7 linked regions of the Nothobranchius furzeri genome follow. The protein of the gene in region 1 interacts with the protein of each later gene in a pairwise test. Links are inferred from orthologs where the notes say so. Each region holds a gene or a part of one and is shown in the gene's direction. Other genes may lie near its edges. The genes, in order: htt, txndc11, ttc23, pparg, zbtb16a, hoxc4a and crmp1.

What was found.
Region 2: the proteins of htt (region 1) and txndc11 interact in binary tests that used the Homo sapiens proteins (3 or more experiments, as listed by UniProt). The link is inferred for Nothobranchius furzeri from reciprocal best matches to the Homo sapiens genes HTT and TXNDC11.
Region 3: the proteins of htt (region 1) and ttc23 interact in binary tests that used the Homo sapiens proteins (3 or more experiments, as listed by UniProt). The link is inferred for Nothobranchius furzeri from reciprocal best matches to the Homo sapiens genes HTT and TTC23.
Region 4: the proteins of htt (region 1) and pparg interact in binary tests that used the Homo sapiens proteins (3 or more experiments, as listed by UniProt). The link is inferred for Nothobranchius furzeri from reciprocal best matches to the Homo sapiens genes HTT and PPARG.
Region 5: the proteins of htt (region 1) and zbtb16a interact in binary tests that used the Homo sapiens proteins (3 or more experiments, as listed by UniProt). The link is inferred for Nothobranchius furzeri from reciprocal best matches to the Homo sapiens genes HTT and ZBTB16.
Region 6: the proteins of htt (region 1) and hoxc4a interact in binary tests that used the Homo sapiens proteins (3 or more experiments, as listed by UniProt). The link is inferred for Nothobranchius furzeri from reciprocal best matches to the Homo sapiens genes HTT and HOXC4.
Region 7: the proteins of htt (region 1) and crmp1 interact in binary tests that used the Homo sapiens proteins (3 or more experiments, as listed by UniProt). The link is inferred for Nothobranchius furzeri from reciprocal best matches to the Homo sapiens genes HTT and CRMP1.

What each region holds. Positions count from the first base shown.
Region 1 is NC_091746.1:25,540,601-25,544,100, forward strand, and holds part of htt (huntingtin), read left to right. Parts: intron 1-1,043; coding exon 1,044-1,185; intron 1,186-1,270; coding exon 1,271-1,450; intron 1,451-1,520; coding exon 1,521-1,697; intron 1,698-1,786; coding exon 1,787-1,863; intron 1,864-1,969; coding exon 1,970-2,105; intron 2,106-2,263; coding exon 2,264-2,386; intron 2,387-2,460; coding exon 2,461-2,668; intron 2,669-2,756; coding exon 2,757-2,902; intron 2,903-3,500.
Region 2 is NC_091744.1:14,534,559-14,537,985, reverse strand, and holds the end of txndc11 (thioredoxin domain-containing protein 11), read left to right. Parts: intron 1-253; coding exon 254-441; intron 442-529; coding exon 530-642; intron 643-1,040; coding exon 1,041-1,121; intron 1,122-1,441; coding exon 1,442-1,928; 3' UTR 1,929-2,927; downstream 2,928-3,427. UniProt on the Homo sapiens protein: May act as a redox regulator involved in DUOX proteins folding. The interaction with DUOX1 and DUOX2 suggest that it belongs to a multiprotein complex constituting the thyroid H(2)O(2) generating system.
Region 3 is NC_091744.1:70,192,242-70,195,741, forward strand, and holds part of ttc23 (tetratricopeptide repeat protein 23), read left to right. Parts: intron 1-3,041; coding exon 3,042-3,213; intron 3,214-3,285; coding exon 3,286-3,391; intron 3,392-3,500. UniProt on the Homo sapiens protein: Participates positively in the ciliary Hedgehog (Hh) signaling.
Region 4 is NC_091743.1:63,419,906-63,423,908, forward strand, and holds the start of pparg (peroxisome proliferator-activated receptor gamma), read left to right. Parts: upstream 1-1,203; 5' UTR 1,204-1,504; coding exon 1,505-1,556; intron 1,557-4,003. UniProt on the Homo sapiens protein: Nuclear receptor that binds peroxisome proliferators such as hypolipidemic drugs and fatty acids.
Region 5 is NC_091750.1:30,173,795-30,177,889, forward strand, and holds the start of zbtb16a (zinc finger and BTB domain-containing protein 16-A), read left to right. Parts: upstream 1-1,295; 5' UTR 1,296-1,428; intron 1,429-4,095. UniProt on the Homo sapiens protein: Acts as a transcriptional repressor. Transcriptional repression may be mediated through recruitment of histone deacetylases to target promoters. May play a role in myeloid maturation and in the development and/or maintenance of other differentiated tissues.
Region 6 is NC_091755.1:25,844,131-25,848,305, reverse strand, and holds the start of hoxc4a (homeobox protein Hox-C4a), read left to right. Parts: upstream 1-1,375; 5' UTR 1,376-3,665; coding exon 3,666-4,101; intron 4,102-4,175. UniProt on the Homo sapiens protein: Sequence-specific transcription factor which is part of a developmental regulatory system that provides cells with specific positional identities on the anterior-posterior axis.
Region 7 is NC_091747.1:78,390,003-78,393,502, reverse strand, and holds part of crmp1 (dihydropyrimidinase-related protein 1), read left to right. Parts: intron 1-1,935; coding exon 1,936-2,077; intron 2,078-2,147; coding exon 2,148-2,318; intron 2,319-3,500.

The sequences.
Region 1 (3,500 bases):
CGGTGGGGGGTGCAGCTGTGGTTGGGACAATTATTACATTAACTGATGGACTTGTAAATAAATAGTTTATAAATAAGGTAGAAATAAGTTCCTCACGCTGATAACTAATAACTAATCTCTCTGAGGACACTGTGCTGGTGTATTCTCCTACAGCACCTTGACATGACTAAATAAATGTTATGCAACATTTTGTGAACATTAATTTATTTGCATTTATTTGTTATAAATGCCACTGTATAATTCTTGCTGTCAGTATTTGCAAGATATTGGTATTTGGGTCTGTACTGGTTAGACTTAAATGAGTTAAACCAAGGTCTATAGCCCTTGGGTCATAAACTATGAGCTATAAGTATATTGGTCTTTTTATACTGGGAATCAGGAGTTCTTTTAGTGATCATCTTGTTTCTTGTTTATTTTTGCCCTGATTGTGCCCTGAGCAGTTTTATGACTGAATAAAAATAAATTTAAAAAATCTACATAAATTGAAAAATCGTCTTAAATAATCGAGATCTCAATTTCAGTCACAATAATCGTGATTATTGTTTTTGCCATAATTGAGCAGCCCTGCTTTAGCATATCCGGTCACATTATGATGACGTCATATTCAGTGGTCGTTCTGCATCATTTCAGGCCCCGTGGTCAACTGTCTGAACCGCTGAAAAGAAGTGCCTGGCATATTTTCTAAGTAAAATAAATATGCGCAATACGTTGTCAACATCAGTGAGTCTCTAAGTCTATGCTTTTTGTATGTTATATATGTTAAAATATGTGTAAATAGGTCGCTGATTAACACTTGCAATTTAGTGTTGTGATGGTTTTAAAAAAATTCTGAAGGTAGTAAAAAAAAGTATTAAAAAGTAGTAAATTTTACTTAAGGATTGCTGTATATACCCTGCAAGGAAGGACCGTGTCCTCGTAAGCAAGGCGCCTGGCCTCGCGAGACATCGCCTCGCAAGGCCAGGCGCCTTGACATTGAGAAACACCCCTGGTGTTTCTTATTAATGTTTTAAAAATGGCTGCTTTTGTCTTCTACTTCCTGCCAGGGGACACAGCCTGTCCTCCACAAAGCTGCTGAGTCCTCACTCCTCAGGGGAAGAGGAAGAAGAAAACCCAGAGTCCCAGTTAGCCATGGTCAACCGGGAGATCGTACGCAGAGGAGCCTTAATTCTCTTCTGTGATTACGTGGTGAGACTTACACGTGTGGAGGAGATTCGATTTTCCCGCCAGGATGAAGATGAAGCAACTTTAACATGAAGTCTTTTACTTTTAGTGTCAGAACCTCCACGACTCGGAGCATCTGACCTGGCTGATTGTCAACCACGTCCGTGACCTCATCAGCCTTTCCCACGAGCCCCCTGTCCAGGATTTCATCAGCGCTGTTCACCGAAACTCAGCCGCCAGCGGCCTCTTCATCCAGGCCATCCAGTCCCGCTGCGACAACCTCGCCACGGTATGGCGACTTTTAACTCCTTACCTCCCTGTCGTCCCAGAGTCCTTCACTGATGTGTGTGTGTGTGCAGCCCACCATGTTAAAGAAGACGCTGCAGTGTCTGGAAGGCATCCACCTGAGTCAGTCCGGATCTCTGCTCATGCTCTATGTGGACAAGCTGCTCAGGACTCCCTTCAGGGTTCTAGCTCGCATGGTCGACACGCTGGCGTGTCGCCGAGTCGAGATGCTGCTGGCGGAGACGCTGCAGGTAAGGCTCACCAGGTTGTCTGATGGATTGTGCTAGTGGTCTGGAATGCATCCCACCAGTGAAACTGAAAGTCAGCGTTGATCCTTTAGAACAGCGTCGCCCAGCTTCCTGTGGAGGAGCTGGAAAGAATCCAGGAATATCTCCAGACCAGCGGTTTGGCCCAGAGGTATCCTCCCAGAACGTCGGTTCTGGATCAGAGCGTCTCTGCTGATTATTTTTGTGCTCAAACTCAAAAATGACAGAATATGTTGTCTTCTGCCCGTCTCCGCCAGGCATCAGAGGTTCTACTCCCTGCTGGACAGGTTCAGAGCCACTGTGACCGACACCGCTAGCCCCGCCCCTCCAGTTACACCACACCCCTTAGACGGGGAGCCACCCCCCGCCCCGGAAAAGATCGTGGCTGACAAGGTGAGGATTCAGATTCTGGACGGAGCAACAAATCTGCAGAATGAGTTGTGGAGCATCCAGGGAACCGTGATCCTGGGAAAAGAGGAAAACTGCAGCTTTGTATTTTTCACTTTGGAATGAGAACAGTCAAACTGGGCTGCTGTTGTGATTTTATTTAGGAATGGTACGTGGCCCTTGTGAAGTCCCAGTGCTGTCTCCGCGGAGACGTTTGTCTTTTGGAGACGACCGAACTTCTGACCAAACTACCTCCTCCGGACCTCCTGAGCACCATGAGCTGCAAGGTGACGTGGAAACGGGCGGATCGGAACACTTCCTGGTGCTTAGTTTTGTTTGTAATGATTCTTACTGAACGCAGGATTTCAACCCGAGCCTGTTGTGTCCGAGCCTGAGCGTGGGCTTGCAGAGGTTAACGCGGGGTCAGGGGTCACTCCTGTTGGACACGGCCTTGCAGGTGACCCTTGAGCAACTAGCAGAGGTCACGGGGTCACTTCCTGTTCCACACCAGCCTTTCCTGCCACCGCCGGAACCGCAGCCTTACTGGAACCATCTGGGTGGCGTGTACGGTGAGAGTGAGGAGGCGGAGCAATAAGACTCAAGACGAATGAAGGAAAGAAGAAACGGGAATTTCCTTTTTTATCCTTTTGTTTCCAGATGATCCAAGTTTTTATCCCAAGGTTCTGTCGCTCTGCCGAGCGTTGTCCCAGTACCTGCTGGGCGTCGGCCAGCTGCCGCCATCGTTGCAGATCCCCCCCGATAAGGAGCAGCTCATCACCACGTTCACCTGCACGGCTGCTGAGGTAAACCGGCTGGGGTCGGGCCGCCAGTAGCACACAGTGGTGATTCGCTAATGAGACGGGTTTACGGCTGTGGGCGAGATGGTCCAAAACATTTATCACGATGTTTCTGAGCGTTCTGGTGTGGCGATGAACCGGACGCCGTAACAAGTAACATCATTATTGCTCCAGGACCTGATCACACCCTCTATTTATTCCCAAATTCCACTTTTTCAGCTTTTATTTTTCTAACTTCCACATTTCCACGCTAACTGTGTTTATTAGCCCGACGGGTGTGATAAAACAGTTGAATCTTAGTCAGAATTCAAAATGTAACAAACTTTCACAAACAGTCGTCCCTCATGAACTCATTCACTGCCAGCGTTTCTCACCGTTTTTACTGGTTTTTTTTTAAGAGTCACAGAACGCGCGCTAGCATGATGTCGATGCCAAAACTACCAAAACAAAGCGGAGACTCACCTCTTACATCAGGAAGAATGCGCGTGTTTCGAGCGTTATCCGTTCTTTCATGATCCGTTGTTGAATTGTGATCGGCAGAGGCTTTTCCGGTTCGCACCTCACTTTTTTTACAGCAGCGGCCCAAAACGATCTCCTAACACGT
Region 2 (3,427 bases), on another chromosome or scaffold:
AACCACATGTTTGGCTTCAAACAAAAGGCTCTTGGTTTAAATGTTTTAGACAGAATGACTCATCCAGACCCAACCCATCAGTAAAGATCATTGTTGTTATCGTGGAGGATTTCATCATGATCAAATAAATAACAATTGACTGGACCAGTTTAAATACCACTAGAACAGTCGTAACGTGATCAGTTCATGTTGGTTTGGTTTTATTCGAGCACAAGCATCAGCTGATATCTGTTTATGATGTGTCTCCTTAAAGAGGCCTTCATTAGGAACTTCAGCGCTCCGTTCAGCCTCCTGCAGAGACATTTGGTAGGGGTGGAAGACAGGAGGCAAGGTGGAGATGAAGCCAAGCATCCAGACGAGCCCCAGCACTCTCCCTCACATCTCTTCATCACAGAGTTGACCACTTCCTCCTTCCTGCCCTCCATCATGGACCATCAAAAGGTGAGGGAATACGCTGGTCTCAGGGTTCTAGATACAGAAGTCAGATTACACTCTTAAATAATAAAGATGATGTCATGTGTGTTTTTAGGATGTGTTGCTGTTCTACTATACCCAGTGGTGTGGGTTCTGCTCCGTTTTGAACCACGTCATCATCCGGCTGGCCAGATTACTGCAGGGAAACCGCACCATCACCGTGGCCAGGTGCAGTCTGGTTCTGATGGACTCAGTAGTCTGATCGCTGCTGTTAGGGATTTTATCAATATGTTTATCAATAAACCCATTTCCTGCAGCTAGAGAGAGGGACAAGAGACAATAAGGCAGACATACAACCAAATCATGATTTGTGGCAAGTGCACAGGGCAAATGCCCCGAACATCTGGTCACAGAGTTAATTTATACAAAAAGATAAGAAAGGAATGGGAGTGGATCATATGTGTGAGAGAGTGTGAGTGTGGGTGTGTGTGTGTGTGTGTGTGTGTGTGTGTGAGAATGCTTTCAGGACATTGTTAATAGGACTAAAGTAATGAAATATAAAATTTCCATAAAAGCTGCCAATCACAGAAACAAACATGTCAATGTGTCCACACGACTCTGTTCAGGGTGAACGTGGCACGCAACGACCTTCCCTGGGAGTTCATGGTGGATCATGTTCCCTCCATCCTTCTGTTTCCCAGATACAGGTAAGAACCAGTGTGACGCCTCCTAATATGTAAAATAAAATCGTGATAGAATAGTAATTTTTTTATTTATAGCATCATTTGTACTGTCGGTATGTTTCTCTGTTTTTAATAGCGTAGACCTTTTTTTCTGTCACTACAGTAAATCTATTGTTACTCTTTTTCCACATTAGACGCTTTTTCCTGCTTGAAGGGAGGAAAACAAGAACATTCCTCTCACCAAGAAACGGATAGAAAAATAAAATGTTGCTTTATAAAAAATGCTACTTCACTCCTATTTCTTACTTTAGACTGTGCGTTTGTCATTCTTGCTTCTCTTTTAGAAAACACCTTAGTGTGAAGTTTCCAGAAGAGCTTCCGGTCACATTACCCAATCTCCTTCGCTTCATCCTGAAGCATTCTGACTCTTTACGTCATGAAGACAAACCAGATGAGGCACAGAGGAAAGGAGCCAGTGCCGTCCTCCACGCAGAATTTCTGGCTCTCCAACGAGAAGTTCAAACTCTACATCTCGCCCGCGAGCGTCTCTCCCAACAGCTGGCGCAGCTTTGGCGCGATTACCGACAACTGAAATTTGACAAACGCAGCATTGAGGAAAGCTTGGAGAAGCAGCTCCAGGAGAAAAGCCAGCAGCTGGCGGAAGCTTTGAGGCGGCTGGAGGAGCTGGTGGACACATCTGAAACCCTGCTGAATGAGAACACACTACTCAGGATCCTTCTGAAGGCGCTGAAGGACAGGACACAGGCTACGGAGCAGACTAAGGAGGAAACAAAACAGACAGAACAGAAAAAAGGCCAAATGACCTCATGAAGGGAACAGAAACAAAGCCTGGAAGTGAAGGAAAGAGGGGGGAGGAGAAAAAGCTGTGATTGGACGAGTAAAACCCAAATAAAAAAGAGCAGATTTCTGTTTGGGCGGGGTGAGGACCTGATCAATGTCACGGGGGGAAAAATCCTACAAAGTGCTTTGGAAGCGCTCATGGAAGCATGCTAGTTTTGGAAATTCAAACCTATCTGCACTTTTCTGTTCTGATGCTGCACCCCCCCCCCCCGCATTATTAGAAACCTAAGTGCATCAAATCAACACTACGACAGTCGTGCCACAAAATAAGTCTGTTCTCAGATTTGTTTGAATTTTGGAAACATATTTTTTTAGTGAAGGTGTCTACAGTGAGCGTACTTAACTAAAATGTTGGTGAAAAAAAGGATCTTTAATTATTAGAAATGTGGGGCACAAATGAGTTTTTTCTTAATATTTCTGTTGTGTTAAATGAAGTTTTGGGCTTCTTTCAAAAGCAAATAAATATACTCACTGAGGATTAAAATGCATACAGATACTTTTATTTTGAAAATTCCACATCATGTCAACTTTATATTGGTTATAATGAACGTTGAAAGCAGTTCGCTGCATGCTTTTATCAGTTTTATCACTAATGATTGGAATCATTTACACTCATGCTTGGATTATTTTGGTGAATTTTCCTTTTTCATTATCCAGCACTCTGCACAGGCTTTCTCTTAAAAATTTAATCATTTGCAGGAGATGGAAAAAAAGGCTTATTTTGCTTTTAAATGAATCAGGAGAGCTTTTGAACAAAGAAAAGTAAATTGACTGTTTTAGGAGCACTTAAAATATTTCAGATTTTTTTTATGAAGGGGTTTTAATGATGAGTTTGTTACACTGATTTTACAAACATTCGAGTCACTAAAATATTTCTATGTAACTATTCAGGTATTAAGATTGAACTGCTGCAGGTGTGTTTACATGTGAAATATTGCACCACTTTTTCTGATAAAAAATCTTTTCGTATTTCAGTCTTTTTTTGTGTGCTTTGTTGTGGTTCTTAAACACAAAATTGAGCTTCATCACATGAGTAATGCATCGATGAGAAGTTTGGAGGATTTGCAAGATGCAGGGAAGACCACATTCCTGAATTCTGTTTTCCCGTGTAGAAAATAATAAATGTAACATCCCTAATCTAAAGCAGCAGGGTCGTGTACTGCTGCAAACTGAACAGATCGTTATCCATCTTCGTTTAGACAAGTCAAATTTATTTGTAACACCTTTCAACAGCATCAAACTGACCAAAGGGCTCCACAGAATTAAAACGGAATAAAAAACAGCATAAAAACTAAATGACTCATGCCACGTTAAAACGTATATTATGTCGATGGTTAAAACTCAAAGCAAGCCCACAAATGGGTTTTAGAAAGAGCTTTAAAACAGGGCAGAGAAGATGAATCTGTATCATTTGTTCTTTTTATTTTATTTTTTTTGATTGAAAACAAAAAGTCAAAGTCATTGTTTTA
Region 3 (3,500 bases), on another chromosome or scaffold:
ACAATCGCGAGCATAAAAATTCAAAACTCTGTTAAGTCCCTTTGAGGCATGAAAAAAACCATTTTAAGCTAATTTCTTTTCCAAATTTGCTATAGCCACTGTAACAATGTTGACTGAACAGTTTCAACTGAGCTTCTAATAGTGGCATGAAAATATTTGAGGGTAAATCTTAGAATTTAACTTAGATTAATGGATTTTGCGTCAACGTTTCTTTTGTTTTGCCATTTAGATTCTGCATATAGCAACAAAAGGTTTGGTTTATAAACTTAGGAAGATATCTGTGTAAACCCTTAAATCTGTCAATTATGATAAATAATTTACTTTAATAAGAACAGAACTGTATAACTTTTCCTTTTGGCTGAATGAGATATTTTCATTGTACTATTTTTAAGTGATATAATATGCAATCGTAAAGACTTTTAAAACCTTTATCCACAAATCAGAAGAAGAAAATATCTTTTCTACAGCACCTCTCAAGATAAAAATCACAAGGCGCTTCACAAAAACAATAAATGTAAAATATAAAAAATAATTTAGAAAATCATTAAAAATATATTTATAATGAGCAAAAAATGGACATTTGTGATTAAAAAATGTAAAGAAAGAGAGGGAGTGAATAGGAAAGAGGGAAATCAGTGGATCCTGAGGGTGGAATAGGTGGGGAGAGCAGAACAAGGAGAGGGCGATGAAGGTCACACCAAAACCAGCTTGAACAGGTGACTTTTCAGCTGCTTTTTAAATCAGCAGCTTTTGGGCCATTTAAACATCTGCCTGTCACTCCTAAACTCTGAATAATTAATGTGCACAATGAGAAAAGGAAGCTATTAGGGGATTGCAACGCATTTTCAGATTGCTCTTTCCTTCATTTGTAATTTAAGTAAGAAATGGTATTTTTTAGAAACAGTGAAAGTAATTACATAAGCACTGGAAATAATTAATAGAGGACTGTAGTCAGTGTTTGAGAAGCTGATTATTAAAAATAATAATTCTCTTCATAATAATACGTCAATGTGACCTTTGGACAATATTTAATTACTTTAAGGGAGTGAATTACTTGTTTATTCACATTGGATAACAGCAGTGACGTGCGGTGAGGTTCATGGCTGGGGAGGCACTGACTGCTTTGGAATAAATGATCCTGAAATAGAAGCTTGTGTTTTATTTTTGACTTTGAATTAAATGTTTTGTTGGTTTGATTTAGCGCTGCATACCCTTGATACAGGAAGTTGGAGCATGCATTATGCCTGAATCAGTTAATGCGTGTGAGGCAGCTCCGTGAGAGCAGAGGCAGGCTCGTCTGTCTCCCCAGAGATTCAGCAATTTTTACCATGAAACTGATGAAATCATACAGAAAACTAATGTATAAACCAGTCAGTGGATACACTGACTTTATTTTAAATCATTATTAGAATTTTACTTGTCACACTGACAAGGGAGGCAGTGCCTCCCCTGCCTCCTCTGACCGCACGTCACTGGATAACAGCAACACAACTCTGCCACTGACTTGGAACATGGATGTTTTATCTCCACAGATAACACAAGCCCAGAGGATTTCTTCTGTGAACTAAAGTGGCTAAAGCTAACGGTTAGCTTAAACTAGCCGAGACGTTCTCTGCTGTTTCCTGGACGCTAAACCAACAACTGATTTCCCATGAGTTGAATGTTAAGTCACGGTGTGATGTAGACCTGTGAGGATTTTTAATCCTAGAGTTTCACCTTCTGTTTTCTATCAGAAGCTAAGGCAGAGATGGGTGTAAGAGACTATTTTCATGTTCAGCATGCATGAAAATCTCAGAGTGACCAATAATAATCCAAAACAACATTTAAAAATGTTTTTTCAGTGTTCCACACCTTTGAAATCTGCCCAAATTTAGTCTATTGAATTCAGAGGTAGCCATTCTTTTAGTTGGAACCATATTTGTGGTAATACATTTTCTTCTTCACCTGCATGCACAAGCTGTTGTGTTTTTGTCCCTTCTGTTTCATTTTCCTGTAGAAAATGTAGCAAATGCACGTCAGCCATCGTCTGGAAACATTTACAATAGAGCACAGTGTGGCTTGCTTGGCAGCACATCTACAAATCCTTAATCATATTAAATTCCTGTCTTTTGGACTCTGCATTAAATTGCCTGTCTGCCAAGGTGCAGAGGCTGCAGACATTAACCTGGCAAAAATAAGAAAAAGTGTCCTAAAATGGTCTGAAATGCCAGCCCAAAAACCATTCATGGGTGGGGAACTCCTTCTGTCCATCAAAGCATATTAATATAAACTTAGACTCATGGGAATCTAAACTTTTGTATTGTTTACGTAACCTGTTGCTTTAAAGTGACTGAGCCACAAATACTTAAAGTAAATGTCTAAAAAAAGGATCTTAGATTATTTTTGAGTCTGGATTCTAAATCAAACCTAAATCAAACATGTGACCTGTTTTAAAATACAATACAGTGCAGAAGCTGAGTTCTTTCAATATTTTCTGTTCAGATTGTTCAGCGGTGACCATTTTGCCCTCTGAGGAAGGCCAACCCATTTCTTGGAGAGCTGGATTAAATATAGTCCATTTGAAGCTGTTAGCACAGCAGCCTTTTTCAGCCATCCAGGATAGCACAAACAAAAATCTGTGTTTTTATAGAGTGTCACATCTGCTTAGATGATTTCTCTTTACCCTCCAAAAGCATTCCCTCATTTAGACATCCTTGAGTAATATCCTTATGAGTGGATTCAATCAAAGTTTGTTACAGTTGTACCGTGTTGAGTGTTAACTGCAGCCATGGGCCAACTCTTTCCTCAGCTTGGCTGGAGATTTACTGCAGTTTTATGAAACCAATTCACAATGACGTGATAACTGGCATCTCTTCCTGGGCTATATTGTAAACTAAACAAAATGTGGCGAAATGTAAAATGATATTACTGCTGTGCTGTTTTTTTTAATAATTATTATGTGGAGGTGAATAAGGATAGACATGTTCTGCTGTCATTTAATTATATTTTCTCTTATGTATACTGTCCCTTTTGTCTTTTTAAATGTCCCATATGTCCTATAGTGTCTATAAGAGACAGGGCCGACCAGAGGAGGCATTGAATCAGTGTGAAAAGTCTCTGCGGCTGCTGAAGGAGTGCAATAAGCCAGAAAAGACTTCTGCTGTTTATAAGGACATGGCCGCCATTGAACAGGACAGAGGTCAGGTGGATCAAACCATAGAGCATCTCTCCAAGGTGAGTAGCAACACACACTCTTGTACTCTTATTTAGTTGATCTGTCTTGTTGGACATGCGTGTTTCTGACAGGCTCATGCCATTGCTGTGAGTCATAGTCCAGAGGGTCTAGAGGGGGCTCAGATCTCCCACTGCCTGGCCATGATCCTTTCTTCTGCAGCAGAGCCTCATCACAATGGTGAGTTTATTCACTGACAGAGGCAAGGTTACAGTGATTCACACAGGGGGCTAATTAGGATCTAGATGTTGCATTAAGTTCTTTAAGACAGCGGTATAGGAGTCAGGCA
Region 4 (4,003 bases), on another chromosome or scaffold:
AAGTCCCGTGTGATGTTGTGACTATCGCGCGACTTTCCAAGAAGTGTCCTGTGTGACCACTTGACTTCTCAAAATCTCGGGCGGCTCATTGGTATTGGCGGAGATTTTTAGACAAATGCAAGAGAACCACTTTGTTTTATGTATATATTTTATGTATTGTACATGTACCTTTGTTATTATTTTTCTTCAAATTATTCTCTTAAGTGTTGGTGGTGCTGTAACAAGTGAATTTCTCCACTGTGGGATCAAAAAAAGTCTATTCTATACTAGTTGTTTATTTATTTATTTATCATTCTCCACAAAATATGTATTGCTATACTATGTTTAAATGTTGTTAAGGGGCATGGAAACATGTTTTAAGCTAATTTGTTTTCCAAACTTGCCTTTGCAGCTTTAACTTGACTAAATATGCTAATATGAGGAAGTAGCTGGCCATGGCTAAAAGTGTGGCTAGTTAGCCACAAACCACAATTTAAAATGTGTTCAGCTTCCTATGAGCTCCATGCAGCTTTGATGTGCTGATAGGTGAGATCAACTTTAAAAAATACATTCATTTTATTACACTTATAGGTTGTTTCTTGGTGCATGCTGAGCCATATTTGACTTAATAAACAACAAATGTTTCCTAAAACATTAGTTTATGATTAGCTAGAAGATTTTGCAGTTTTTCTGAAAAATTCCGAGTTGATGCCAGATTAAAGAATTCATTTTGTGTGATGCTATTTCACTCATTAGGTGCCTTATAAGATCCACTCTCATAAATAAAAACTTGTAACAGTACCTGTGTTTTCTGCGCATAATAAATCAGTTTAAATAGATCCGATTAAGTAAATCGGAGCTTTAGAAGGTAATTTGACGCCTTTTTATGTGTCCTTAAATCCCTGGAGGTTGAGCCGAGAGGAGGGAGGGGAGAGACGCACCAGGCAAGGCTCACACACGCACCGTAGCAGCAGCAGGAGCTGAGCGCTCCACAGCGAACGGACCCGGACCCAACCACACTGCTGCGGCTGTTCGGTGCCCAAGCCCCCGGTTCCAGGGGGGAGGCGAGCTAAACACGACCGAGAAAGTGCGGTCCAACACCGGAAACGCAGCCCGTGGACTCTCTCTGTCCTCTGCGGTTCAACACACTGATCAGGTCAGTCACCCCCTTCTGAGTTCACTATTTATTGTGCTTGGAGTTGTGGCTGCTAGGAGTAATAAAACACTGCAAACGTCATAAAAAGTAAAGTAATTCAGAAGACTGGGTTTAAGTGTCTGCATCAGTTTTTGTGTCATTTTAAAACAATAAGGATAACTTTTAACTTTTTGATTTCATACTAAAGTTTTACTTTTTTCAAACATGTCGACTTAAGGTGGACACTTCCTAGAGAGTGACAAGTAGCCAGTGGCGTAGATTGGGGGTGGCGATAGAGAGGGGGTGCGGCCACAGGGCTGACAACTGGCATGCACGTCAGGAGTTGGTCCAGAGTGTGTCTCTGGGCCACAGTGCGAGTGTGAGCTTGACATGCAAACACCAGGCAGAGATTTTCACCATCTAAGTGGTCACATCTTCTCAGGTAAGACCAGGTGATGCCTGCTGTTGGGTTCTAGTGTTTTAGAGTGTGTGTGTGTGTGTGTGTGTGGGGGGGGGGGGGGGGGGGGGGTCACATGTGCTGATTCACTGTAGATTCTTCTACAGTAACTGCTACATAAGAGTTGTGACTCAGCTATAATAATGTAGACTGACACAGTCACTCCTGTTTTTTCCACTTTGGGTTTTGATGAATTAATTTTGAACTCATGTGGGGAATAAATCTGATCTGTTGGTTTATCCTTTAATGGGACTGATAATGGTGAAAACAAGCTGCAAAATGGAAACGTGTTATAGATATCAGTCAAAACAGTAATTATGATCAGAATATTTAATAAATGCTTAGCATTACCAGATGTAAATCATCACCTTTTACTCCCTTTTGACATTTTGCTCACTAAATTTGTGCTCGGTGTCATTTGTATTTTCTGTATTATGTTTTTTTCTTGGAACGTTATTTTAGTGTTACTTTTTTAAATGTACTTGTTTTGTTCTTATTTTAGTCAGAGTTGTGATCTGGCGATACACAACAAAACAATCACTTAATGTAGGCAAATATTTAGCTTCAGCAACTTTGTTTAAAATTTAGACTAATATCTTTAAATCGAGTTTTCTGTACTTCTGATTATCAATAAACTGCTGCAGGTCAAACTCTGTCAAAATGTCTCTAAATCAATAAATAGCATTTTAAAGGTTAACAAATTATTATTGGGTTTAAGCAAAATTGTCCATCAAACATTCCAGATGCGATAGGACGAGTTTATCACTAAGCTGATCATAGTTTATTATGTCCTTTTTTAAATGAGACAAAGCATAATACATTTTTTATTGAGTGATTAATTATCAAGGCGTGTTTTTGTATTTATAAATGCACCTTCAGGTAAAAGCATAAATATTACTTTTATTACAGCAGCAGCTTGGTTTATTTTAAGTATTATTTATTTGAATGCAAGCATTTTCATCAGCTATTCATTTGGAAGAAATTGAGTGCAGTCCTGAAAGTTTTGCCTCGGATTCTGGTGTCATAAATCTCATGCAGCTTGAATCAGTAATACTAGCTCAGGTAAAAAAACATCCTGTAATCTTTACATAAATGACTTAAAGTCTAACAGCAGCTTCGATACAGGCGTTGATGCAACTGCATGCCCTAAATCACTCATTTATCAGGTTATATAATTCTTAGAGTAAGGTGCGTCCATGTGTTTGTTGGTGCATGTGTGTATGAATGACTGAGACAGATTCGGACTTTGTTCTGTTGTCGTAAACGAAAGGAGTGCTTCAAGATACGTTGCTATTTCTTTGTTGTTGATCACTCGCTTTGTGGATAACACACCTGCACATAAAGCTATTTTAATTGTGTGCTAAAGAGTTCAAGTTACTTCTTGTCACTTATTGTCATTTTTGAAGCTTTCTATTGATGTAAAAGAAAGAAATATCAACTTTTTCTGCCACAACCTTTTGGAAGGTACTTCAGTCACCTACAGTTTTAAGAGCGAAATGTAATCGCAAAAGGAAGGAAGACTGTCTAAACATCTGTTTTTGCATAAACATTCAGATAAAAGAGAATGACATGCTCTGGATGAACCCACAGATAATTAACCACTTTTGCTTCTGCACTGCCAAAATCCTGCTTTGTTCATTTTAATTTCATGCAGTGAATAAGTGTTTTAAAAGGCTTTTCTGATTAGGTTTCATCAGATAATGCTGGCGTTTGAAGTGGTTTAACCCTAAGGTTGTCAATTTATTTTTAAATTAGGTGTAATTATTAACTTCAGGGCTATCATTTCATCATTTTCTGTCTACGAACCGCAACATTTTGGCTGCAGATGCAAACTTTTATTGACACCAAACAAAACTTTGGACACTGGCAAGTTGTTTGCTAATAAAACTTTTCTGTACTTGTTAATCTTTTGTACTTTGACAGAGAGATGTGTGATTAATTAAGTACGCATTTTGCTTTGGGCTCCAAAAGAATCATTATTAAAATTATTTTGTCATGTTCCGCTTTGAAAGTATCCTTCTATTTAGTCATGCCTCTTTTCATGGCACATATTTCCACAGTTATGTGACGTACAGTGTGTGATGTGCAACATAAAATACTCAATTACTTTCAGTTATGACCCAGCACTCACTATGGCATTGCAACCATTATTTATTTTCCATACAGTTCTTTTTCCAAGTATGGACACTCCTGGAAAAAACACATTTTGATTGCACTGTCTCCGTTTGGACTTCCAGGCTCCCGTGGCAGCTATTCTCATCTCTCAGCTTTGCTCTCAGTTCATCATAGTTTCTCCATGCAACCGATCAGTCAAGAAGAAAATTAGATTTGATAAGTTAGTATCTACATAGATTTCACACTAATGACTGAATGTTAGGTTTTTTTAATTATATTTGATGATAAGCTCTATGATGAATTAATTTTGGTTTCAT
Region 5 (4,095 bases), on another chromosome or scaffold:
TACAGATTTGGATGTTGATGGCTTTGATCCGCGTGTGACCCCCTAAAAGGAAGTTGTTCCTACTTGTTTCATCTCTTTTATTCGTGTGTGCAAACACGACCAACTCTGTGCTGTTAGGACGTTTCTTCAGGATTGTTGCACGTCTTTGGGTCACTTATTGTGAAATGCTACTGAAACCTGACAGCACATTCAGTTTGTTTTATAAAAATGACCCCAGCTTTGATCATGTTTTCCAAATACATCTGTTCATAAATGATTGAGTAAAAAAGGCAAAAAATAAAGGTTTATTTTTGCTAAAATACATAAAGCAGTTGTGTTTATTCACGTCCTGCACTTTATTTAGTCTTCTGTCATTTTTTTAATTTGTTAAATTGCATTTTAGTAAATCTCGGTTTGAGTTTGGACAGCAGACCTGAGCTTAAATCTAAAAGTGTTGCAGTTAATATTTAAATATTTGAATTGAAAATGAAATAAATCTGGGTTGTAGTGGATACAGACATGAAGGCAGCAGGAGGTGGAGCGGGTTGGCGGTGTTGCAGGATCGATCTCAGCTCCTGGCAAAGAGTGCTGCTGTTGTGTCCTTGGGCAAGGGCAGCTGTAGCCACAATGTAGCGCATCATCACCAGCTGTGAATGTGTGAATGGCTGATTCAGGTTCTGGGACTGGTGCCAGATTAAACACAGGCCATTTTCCATAAAACACTTCCCACCTAATTACAGAGCTTAGACACTGATGTTAGGTCAGTGAGTCAGGTCTGATGGCTCACAGGAAACCATCAGAAGTATTTAGTTTCGATATCCGAGTGCTCCGGTTTGCAGGGATTTTCTACATTTTAAATAATCCAAAACTTTATTTTGGCTCTTTGAAAATAGTTTTGGGGAAAAGAAAACTGAGGCAGAACAGGGACGGAAGGACGGCCAAACTCGGACCTCAGACAGAGTTGATTGAATCAAAAATACATCAAATCCAAACATTTAAAAAAGCAGAATTCTGAAATGATTCAAACGATCAGATAGTTCTTGGTTTTGTGTCGGAACCAGTCTGGGGGTGGTGAGCAGGACTTGTTGGGGTGTGACTCCTGAACCCCTGAGGTCCTCTAAAGCCCAGCTCCGTCCCTGTGGAGCTTCAGCCCAGCTCCTGTGGGCGAGGACGCGTCTCGCCTCTCCCTGGCCTCCAGTAACACGCCCGTTTGGCCGGAGACAGTCCCCTAGGTGTCTCACTTTCTCTCTGCTCGGACTGGAGCGCCGCGGCGGCCGCCCGCCCGCCTGCTGCTCGTCTGGCTGCGTTGACGTCAGCGGCGTGTTGATTCGCTAAGGCGAGAGAAGAAAGGAGTTAGTGCGTGTTGAGAGAGCGGGTACTGCGAACTGCCTTACTATGCTGTAGCCCCAGTCCCCCGCGCGCCACACGGACTCCAAACCTGCAACTTAGGTGAGTACCGACACCGGACACGCGGCTGCCGCTTCCCGGAGACAAGTGCCGGGCTCGCTCCTGCGCGCGCGTGTGCTTCATTTAGCGGACTTTCATTCACCATATGGATGTTTTGGGTGCGTTTGTTGCGCTCGTCCTCGGCTGACCTTCCGGTTTCATGTGCGTTTTCGTGCTGAAGTTACCAGCGACTTGGCAGTGGGTCGCGCGCGCCTGAGCGAGTCCCGGCTGAAAACAAGTGTTTACCTGATTGCGCTGCAAGGTGTTAAAGTTTGCATTAACGCACGGCAGCCTATTGCGGAGGCGCTAGGGTTGACGTAAGCCCCCTCCTCGCGCTCCTGTCTGGTTAGTATTCTGGAGAGCGGCGAGAGGACGTGAGGTCTGGCTGTGTTCACCGGGAGCCAGGCGGCTCGTGACGCCGCGCTGCGTGTCCCTTCCACGGACCGATGGCAGCGGTAAAGCGCGCGTGACGTCCCATTCCTATCCCCTCTTATTAATCCGCGGTGTGACATCACGGCGGCTCGAGACAGTTGCACCAAACCAGCGTGACTGCGCTGTCAGAGCGGGATTGACTGACAGCTAACTACATGTTTGATTAGTTCCCAATAATCGAGCTGCACGCGCCGCGCGCGCGCGCGCTGGTAACTGATTCAAATGGATTTGTTATCGAATGTGTCTGATCCTCCTCTTCCCCTTTCACTCCTTCACATCCTCACCGAGATGTGGAGCTGCCACCTGCACGCAGATCGGACCGGAACCAGGCTCGCGTGCACGTTTATGACCACCACACCCCCCACCACCAGACCATAACAACGCTCCCGCGCCTGGGGTCCGTCCGTGCGGCTCTCGCGCTGGATTATTGAACGCTGTTTATTCTTGTTGTGGCTGCGGCTCGTCAGTGCGCGCGACGGCAGACAGCTCGTGATCAGATCGATTCCGATGCTTCTCTCTCTCTCTCTCTCTCTCTCTCTCTCTCTCTCTCTCTCTCTCTCTCTCTCTCTCTGAAGTCTCTTTATTTGCTCGTTGTCCTCGCGGGACACCATCTCCACCGGCTTAATGTACTTAATGTAGTCTGCTGATTTGCGTAATGCTCGTGTAGAATGGGTCTGCAGCGGCTGGCCCAACATCCGCGCGCTGTCTAGACGCTCCTCTCTATTAATGGAGAGCAGACACAAGTGCCTGAATGGGAAGTTTGGGCTGCTCCGATGCGCGCAACAAGCACCGATCACGTTCAGGGACACAAACATTACTGATGATAATGTGGTGCTGGAGGCGTGAAGGGGCTGATCTCGGTTAGATGGGGACCTGTGGGCTCATCATTAGTGGTTTTTATTTATTTGGTTAGCCTGATGCTTTTTCTAATCTAAACTCGCAGCTCTGAGTAGAAAATGACAGGTTTGTAGTCATTTTTCTCCCAAGTTTTTATGTTTCAAGCAATAATTCAACTTATATATTTTATTTTTCTGCATATTTTATGATACTCTCATCATGACATTAAGCACTTGTAAAATCCTGCTCTAAAGTGTTAAAGTTAAAGATGAAATACACCGATTCTGATTTCTAAGGCTGATACCTTGATGATTTTATCTGATGATACTCATTTTTTTTCTCCAAACCAACTGAGACCCAGTCACTTTTTAAGATGGACCCGGTCATAAACCTGATTACGTCCATGGTCTCCTGCGCCAGAGCGAGGAAACAAGAAAAATGACAGAATTTCCATGTAAACTGCAGTCAGCTTTAAAACGCTGAGGATGCATTTGCACGTTTCTTTTTTGACTAAAAACTGCTGAAAAGTTTCTGTCATTGCTCATGAAGCTGACTGAATCAGTGAGTTCACCCAGAATGTGGGTCAGTTGAGGTGGTTAACCAGCATTCATGCTTTCGTCCTCCGGTGGGGCAGACCATTAAACCAGACTAAACCAGAAGCAGCCAGAGGCGTCTATGTTTTACGTCCACGTTCTGCTAATTCAGTCTGAACCTGTCCTGGTTTATCTGGCGCGGGTCAGACGCGCTCCAGTAATGAGGTGGAGCAACACGTTGCCCTGTTAACGTGAATAATGAAATCACCAGCAGCCACAGAGATGTTCATTCATTTGAGATTTCAGCGGCTGAGAGCCGAGCGGAGCGTTTAAGTGCAGCAGTGCTTTTTGCCTCATCCTGCTTTTCTCTTCCACCCCTGTCTGGCCGCTGCTCTCTGCTCCCGTCTGTGATGGGAATACTGAGTAAGATGCTATTTAATGTTGGGAAGGCTGCTGACGGTCCCTGCGAGCCAAGCAGCAGTGAAAGCCCACAATGCTCCCTTGTTTAACTGCACGTCCCCGTCAGATAAGCAAACGAAGACATCTTTTAACGTAACATATGTCAGGTTGATTGGTATGCAGGATGAGCCTGTTGGACAGCTAACAAATCGTCTCCCTTCAGAAAATACTGTCAATACTCGGCGCTGGTCTCCAGAACAATGCCGCTGCACAGATTGTTTACCAGCCCTGCAGGATATTTGCAATTTGAGACTCCAGCGGCTTCCCGTTTTTCCCGTTTACATAATAAACCGGATCCTTTCATGGTTAAATAAATACACATATTCTATAACCGGTAATTGAGCTGATGGTTCTGCAAATATGACAAATTGGCAACACTTGTTGACTTTAAACACGAATGGTTTTCCTT
Region 6 (4,175 bases), on another chromosome or scaffold:
AGATGAATTTTGTTTGTAATGTAAGTGTGTGAACATGATTGTACAACTGTTGTTTTGAACTGAAATTGGGGTGAGAAGGGGATGTGGGGTGTGGAAGAGAACTTAACAATTTCTCAAATGAACAAATGAAACATCAAATTAGTCTGCCTCAGGCTCTCATTTTTTGTACTTTTACATTATAACTAGTTATTGAACTAGGTGCATGATCTGAAAGCCATTTGTGGGCAGAAAGAATTCATTGCTGTCACTCCATCAATAATCCTTGGCAGTGAACTATTGGAACCAGTCAAACGCAAGGGGTGAAACGCGGGTCAGGCTGTCTAACTAATATTAAAATGCGTTCGCCTGAGCACATGGCGTGTGTGTGTGTGTGTGTGTGTGTGTGTGTGTGTATGTGTGTGTGTGTGTGTGTGTGTGTGTGTTGGCTGGCTACACAACAAACATCATAGATTTAAATGCAACACGAGAACCAAAAACTTCCGTTTTTATCATTTTATTGTTCTTATTTCTTTCTTTTGCTCTAATGTCCATTTTTATTTCCTTTCTTACGTGTTTTTAGAGCGATTCTATCAAATATTTATCACAGGACGAATAGGCATGGTGGAATATGTAGATGAAGCTTTTCCCCTGTCAGTGTTTAAAATCCCATGTGCATCTGCACTGTAATCAATTCCATTGATTCACAATCTGAGCATGTTTGCTGTTTTTAATAACCTCGAAGCAGGTCACATGTCCAATATTGCATTTTTCATCCGAGGCTTTTCTCATTAGCTTCCAGAGTGTCAGGAAGAAAGGTTACCGAGCGGTCAGTATGGTAATGGCGAGCAGAAGAAATGGTTGGGAACAATAGAAACTTATTTTTCATCTGTGCTGTCACGCCGTCCTTTTGTATCTGCTCCGTGTTTGTGGCTGAATATTCATATAGGAGCGACCTCAAAGGCAAAGGCAGAATGCTGAGAAGAAAACACTGTGTGTGTGTGTGTGTATGTGTGTGTGTGTGTGTGTGTGTGTGTGTGTGTGTGTGTGTGTCTGTCTGTGTGTGTGTGTGTGTGTGTGTGTGTGTGTGTGTGTGTGTGTGTGTGTGTGTGTGCGTGTGCGTGTGTGTGTGTGTGTGTGTGTGTGTGTGTGTGTGCGTGTGCGTGTGTGCACAAGTGTGTGTGCGTTGATATATTTAGGGAAAATATTTACCCGCAGAACAAACATGCAGCTATTTGTTTATGTCCTCGTCTCGCTTTTACGCACGCGCTTTGGAGCGTTTCTGCTCTACTGCAGCCATGAAATTTGTTATGCACTGATGTCAGATGTGATAACCTGCTTGCCTCCATGTTTTCCCCCGGACAGATCAACCTCTGCAGCGTCAGTAGTTGTCTATATGTACCCTGTAGAACCGAATTTGCGTGCAGTAACAACAATCGCAAATACGTCTCTACAGGAATACATGGGCAACTGAAATACCACGCCAATGGATTGTTCTGCATCTGCTCTTCTTTCTCCTCCCTCCTTTCTGCCTTTGCATGAACAAGCATCAGGATACACCCAGGCAGTAGCAGTGCAATAACACGGTCACAGTGTATTCATAATCCACGCTGCCGTGGATTGTGTGGGTTTAGGCCACAGAGAGCGGAGCCATGTGCGCAGAGTGCGGCTACTACTGTGTCAGAGCCTGTAAAACACGTTAGAAACCAGGGGTCATTTAAAAGTGACTGATTTACGGCTTTTATTGCTCTATAAAACGCCTCTAACATCCTCTGTAGGGGTAATAGAAATGTCGTGAGCATTCTTTACAAACAGTACAGCCAGAAATATGATATGCACTTTCATATCGTTTTAAACTTATTATGTAATTATGGCTTTGGAAATAGATCCCCTGGCTTGTGTGGTTCTGCTGACCAAAACACTGACTCATATCCCACTTCAGTACAAATGTAAAACTTTATTATTATTATTATTATTATTATTATTATTATTATTATTATTGAATCAGATTAGGAGAGAATACCTTTGAGATAATAATGGGAAGCCATAGCCCATGACAGGTTTACACAGCCAGGCAGCATCAGTTTACAGGGTCAGGATTAGCCTTAACATCTGAAGGCTGCTTCCCTAACAGGCAGCTGCGATGAAATATCACCAAGTAGTTCCAAATATTTAGATGCTTCAAATAGCTGTTTCCGAGTGTTTACTTACATGTCACACGATCATCTGGTGTTATCTTAAGGCATTTTCTGTATTTTTCATCAATACATTATCTCTATTTAACACCACACACGAAAATATTTAACTGTGTAGTGGTCTATTGAGCTCACATCATTTTACATTTGAATGTAGGAAAAGAGTCTGTTTAGTGTTTAGAAATAGGAGAAATGTGTGTTTTAGGTTGAGTTGGACATCATAATCTGGGAAAAGAATAAATCTGGTCAATAAAAAAAATAGAATGTTCATTAATGCAACTTTTTGCCCTAAACTGTGATTTTTATCATTAACTGGTTAAGTCAGCAATTCCGTTCCTCCCTATTATTCACAATATTAGTTTTGGACTCTTGGTAAAAAGACACGATTGGTTGTATTGAGACAGATTTATTTATTTATTTATTTATTTATTTATTTATTTATTTATTTATTTATTTATTTCAATAGTGCTGCAGAAATACAGTATTCAATGATTTTGTATTTAACAAATGCAGACACTTTTCTGTTAAGGAGTCATGTTTTCAAAAGCAGAAGTGAGTTTACATGATGTTTATACTTGTGTGTTTCATGTGTGCTTTAAAGCCCAACTGCTCAGTGATTAGCATTTTATTTCCCTTTCTTATGTATCAAGTTGTTGACTGTAGATCTGAGCATTCAAAACATCATTTGATGAAGCAACGTGATGTAAATACATTTGACTTCTGACTAAATTAGAATTTTAAACACACATAGTTTTAAGTAAGAGCCTTAATAGAAGATGTGAGATCATTTAAACTCCTTGCAGCTAAATTGGCACATTTAGCCTGTCCACCTTAAATGATTAAACCTATTTTGAAAATCTAGTCACACCTTTCAGCCACCTCACCTGTCCAGTGACTCTATAGAACCTCTTCCAGTTAAATATCATGTGACTAAAGAGGGGAACTCTGCAAGCAGCTCTAATTCCTACCGGATTGTGATCTTTTTCCCAGCTGAAGCAACGTTGATAAAGACTCTGCATTCATTAATTTGCAGATAACCTTTGCAGAAGGTGTGCAAACCAACAAAATGATTGTTTCTCTTTTGTTGTGCTTTATCCTTGGCGAACCATTGTCCCTTTGAATAATTGGGAGCTGCACATTTTGCCTGTTTTATTTTTTCCTTGGTCAGCAGCTACTAGTTTTGTCCCCAAGATCAATTGCCTTGGTAACAAAACCAGAAAGGGGGAGAAAGGAGAAGAGGGGGGAAGGTAAGGGAGAAGGAGGGAGAGAGAGACCTAAGCGGAGAGGAGGAGAGAGAGAGCTTTGTGCCCACAATGGCGACTGTAGGTATGCTAAATACCTCTGGTTCCGTATCCGGGAACTACCTCTTCCTCTGCTATTGGGCTACTGGGTCACGTGGTTAAAGTAACTTTACAGGGCTGCTCGCAAGTAGGAGGGCTTTATGGAGCAGAAAAACGACAAAGCTAGAAAAATTATTTTCCACTCCAGAAATTAATGATCATGAGCTCGTATTTGATGGAGTCTAACTACATTGATCCGAAATTTCCTCCGTGCGAGGAATATTCGCAAAATAACTACATCCCAGAGCATAGTCCAGAATATTACAGCCGCGCAAGGGACTCTGGCTACCAGCATCACCACCAGGAGTTATATCCTCCGCGGGCGAGCTACCAAGACCGCCAGTTTAACTGTGCAAGCATCCCTGAACCCGACACGCCAAGGGGACATGGAATACCCCATTCTGCGCACCTGCTGACAGGAAAAGGGCAGCCTGCATCATGTGAAACCCCACAGTTGTCCATGTCCCCCGCCACCCCACCGGCTGCAACCTCCGCCTGCAACCAAGCTACCCCGGAGCATCCAAACAGCACAGCCTCCTCCAAACAGCCTGTGGTGTACCCATGGATGAAGAAAATTCACGTCAGCACTGGTAGGCAACTTGTGTGTTTATGTTCCCTGCACTCCTCCCGCTCCTCTCTTCCTCTGCCTTCCTTTATCAGCCCC
Region 7 (3,500 bases), on another chromosome or scaffold:
TAGTGTGATGCAGAATAAAAATCTGATCAGTGAAAAGGACAAACGGAGGAAAAGTGAAAGTGGACGTTTGAAGGTAGTTTGACCTCTGCAGCGAAGGACAACACATCTGTTATGACCTCCCCTCCTCAACTCCCGCTGAACGAGGGGCCAGATTTCATGACTTGCACATGTTTAAAGCTCGATTCTGCCGAGTTAAGGCTAAAACCTCAATTTTTCATATTTTTACACAAACCAGATCTGCAGGGTGTCTTTCACATCCGTCAGGTTTATGGATGGATTTTAAAGTTTCAGATCGAGCTTTTCCTTTTGCTCTGCAGTTGAGATGTTTTGTATTTCCTGAAAAACGTTTTGCATGACTCTGAAAATGTGCAGCCTTCACTTTGAACTTAAAAAAAAAAAGATTAAAAATGTACAAAAGGAAGAGAAATGTTCAAAAAGACAAGGACTTTAGTAACAACATTTTATCAGGTAAATTAATGAAAAGTAAAACTAATCTTTATGAAAATGACAAATAATAACACTCAAAGATGGCTACAGCTCGGTCTGTTATACAGATGTGGAGCTGAACTAAGATGTGCTTTTAGCTGAAAGTCTTTCGCATCACAAGCTGTGAATAATAAAGATCAGGCATGAACTGCAGATACTGATTTCATTATTTAAAATATATGACCCAAACCATTTTAACTACCATCCTTTTTCACCTCTAGATGGTTTTACTTATCTCTGACTCATAGCAGACTTCTGATTCTGAAACAAGTCCAGATGTGTAAACGATTGTGTCGGATTAGGATTAATTAGGATGTAACTGTGTTAAGGTTAGGAGCAACACACACACACACACACACACACACACACACACACACACACACACACACACACACACACACACACACACACACACACACACACACACACACACACACACACACACACACACACACACACACCAGCAACTTCCAGCTGCACACTTTCAAAGTGCCCTCGATTCCATAAATAGCACATGGACCTAGAGTAACTCATCATCTGCTGTCTTGGCTACCAAGCGTCTCCCTCCTCCTCCTCCTCTTCCTCTTTGTCCTCCTCTCTGCTTAGCCACACTTGATCCACAACTGCAGCTTCTCATGCTGCTCTGAGGGTTTAACACCGCTGTTTTCCTCCAGCGTCCTCTGAAATGACAGAGTTATTTTCAGGTTCCTATTGAGAGATGTGAACACTTTATTACGCTGGCTCATTATTGCTATAATAAGCAATCGCTTTGCGTTAGGATGATGATCATACAGCCGAGAATAATCACTATGATCAATGAGTAAATTACAGGCCTCACACCAAAGATTATGATAAACACTCTTCTCTTGTACAGTAAGAGGTAGAATGGGTGTGTGTGTGTGTTGCTGGTGTTTTAATAATGCAGTGCATATGTATGTATTAACAGAGGCTCTAGACAGCAGCACTGCAGCTGTGTTGCACCATTCTGACACTTTCAGCTGACTGGTTTTAAACACCAAACCTCCTCATGATGTGCACATTAAATTACAGGCTCACTGAGGACACCTAGTGGCTGATTTATCAATAACAAAAACCCTTTTAACCCAGGCGTGTCCAATCCTGGTCCTCGAGGGCCGGTATCCAGCACGTTTTCGTTTTAACCTGCTTCAACACACCTGATTTCAATCAGCAGGTGATTAACAGGCTTCTGCAGAGCCTGATGAGCTGCTGCACAGGTGATTCCACCAGCTAATCAAGCGTGTTGAAGCAGAAAAACCACAAAACCTGCTGGTTACCGGCCCTCCAGGACCAGGATTGGACACCCCTGCTTTAACCAAATGATCAGCATGAAAACTTTTTTTTTTTAGTTTGGTTCCTGATTTTGCCTCCTGCTGTGGACATTTCACATTGATCATCAAATACTTGAGTCACTGTGTTTCGTGTCCACAGCGGGGACCTCCAGGTGGTGGGCAGCTCTCACTGTGCGTACAGCACCTCCCAGAAGGCGATCGGTAGAGATGACTTCACACTGATCCCAGAAGGAGTCAACGGAGTGGAGGAGAGGATGGGTTTTGTGTGGGACAAGGCTGTGGTAAGGAGGGTTCCTGACAGTGTGGCTGTGAGTTTGTAACAGAGTTAATATCGACTTCTATGACACTCAGGCCATGGGGAAGATGGATGAGAACCAGTTTGTTGCAGTCACATCAACCAACGCTGCGAAGATCTTTAACCTGTACCCACGTAAGGGACGCATTGCTGCAGGCTCCGACGCTGACATCGTCATCTGGGACCCTGACAGTGTCAAAACCATCACAGCGAAACTCCAGCAGTCGGTGAGAACTTGGGAAGAAAAAGGGAGATGGATGGAGGACAGTCAGGAAGAAGAGTGCTAACCCTAACCAATCATCCATCCATCCATCCATCCATCCATCCAACCATTTTCATCCACTTATCCGGAGTCGGGTCACGGGGGCAGCAGCCTAAGGCGAGAGGCCCAGACTTCCCTCTCCCCAGCCACTTGGGCCAGCTCCTCCAGGGTAATCCCAAGGCGTTCCCTGGCCAGGTGAGAGACATTGTCCCTCCACCGTGTCCTGGGTCTACCTTTAGGCCTCCTACTGGTTGGACGTGCCCAGAAAACCTCACCAGGGAGGCGTCCAGGAGGCATCCTGACCAGATGCCCAAGACACCTCAACTGGCTCCTCTCGATGTGGAGGAGCAGCGGGTCTACTCCGAGCCCCTCCCGAATGACCGAGCTTCTCACCCTATCTCTAAGGGAGAGCCCAGCCACTCTTCGGAGAAAAGTCATTTCGGCCGTTTGTATCCGCGATCTCATTCTTTAGGTCACTACCCAAAGCTCATGACCATAGGTGAGGGTAGGAACGTAGATCGGCCGGTAAATCGAGAGCTTCACCTTCTGACTCAGCTCTCTCTTCACCACGACAGACCGGTACAACGCCCGCATCACTGCAGATGCAGCACCAATCCACCTATCGATCTCACGCTCCAGTTTTCCCTCACTCGTGAACAAGATCCCGAGATACTTAAACTCCTCCACTTGGGGCAGGACCTCCTCCCTGACTCGGAGAAGGCATTCTACCCTTTTCTGAATCAAGACTATGGTCTCAGATTTAGAGGAGCTGATTCTCAAGCCCGACTTACTGCCGGCAATGCGGACCAAGCTCTGACACCGGTCATACAGGGACCTAACAGCCCGTATCAGAGGGCCTGGTACCCCATACTCCCGGAGTACCCCCACAGGGTCCCCTGAGGGACGCGGTCAAACGCCTTCTCCAAATCCACAAAACACATGTAGACTGGTTGGGCAAATTCCCACGCACCCTCCAGCATCCCCCTAAGGGTATAGAGCTGGTCCAGTGTTCCACGGCCAGGACGAAAACCACATTGCTCCTCCTGAATTTGAGGTTCAACAATCCGACGGACCCTCCTCTCCAGAACCTCTGAATAGACCTTACCAGGAAGGCTCAGGAGTGTGATCTCCCTGTAGTTGGAACACA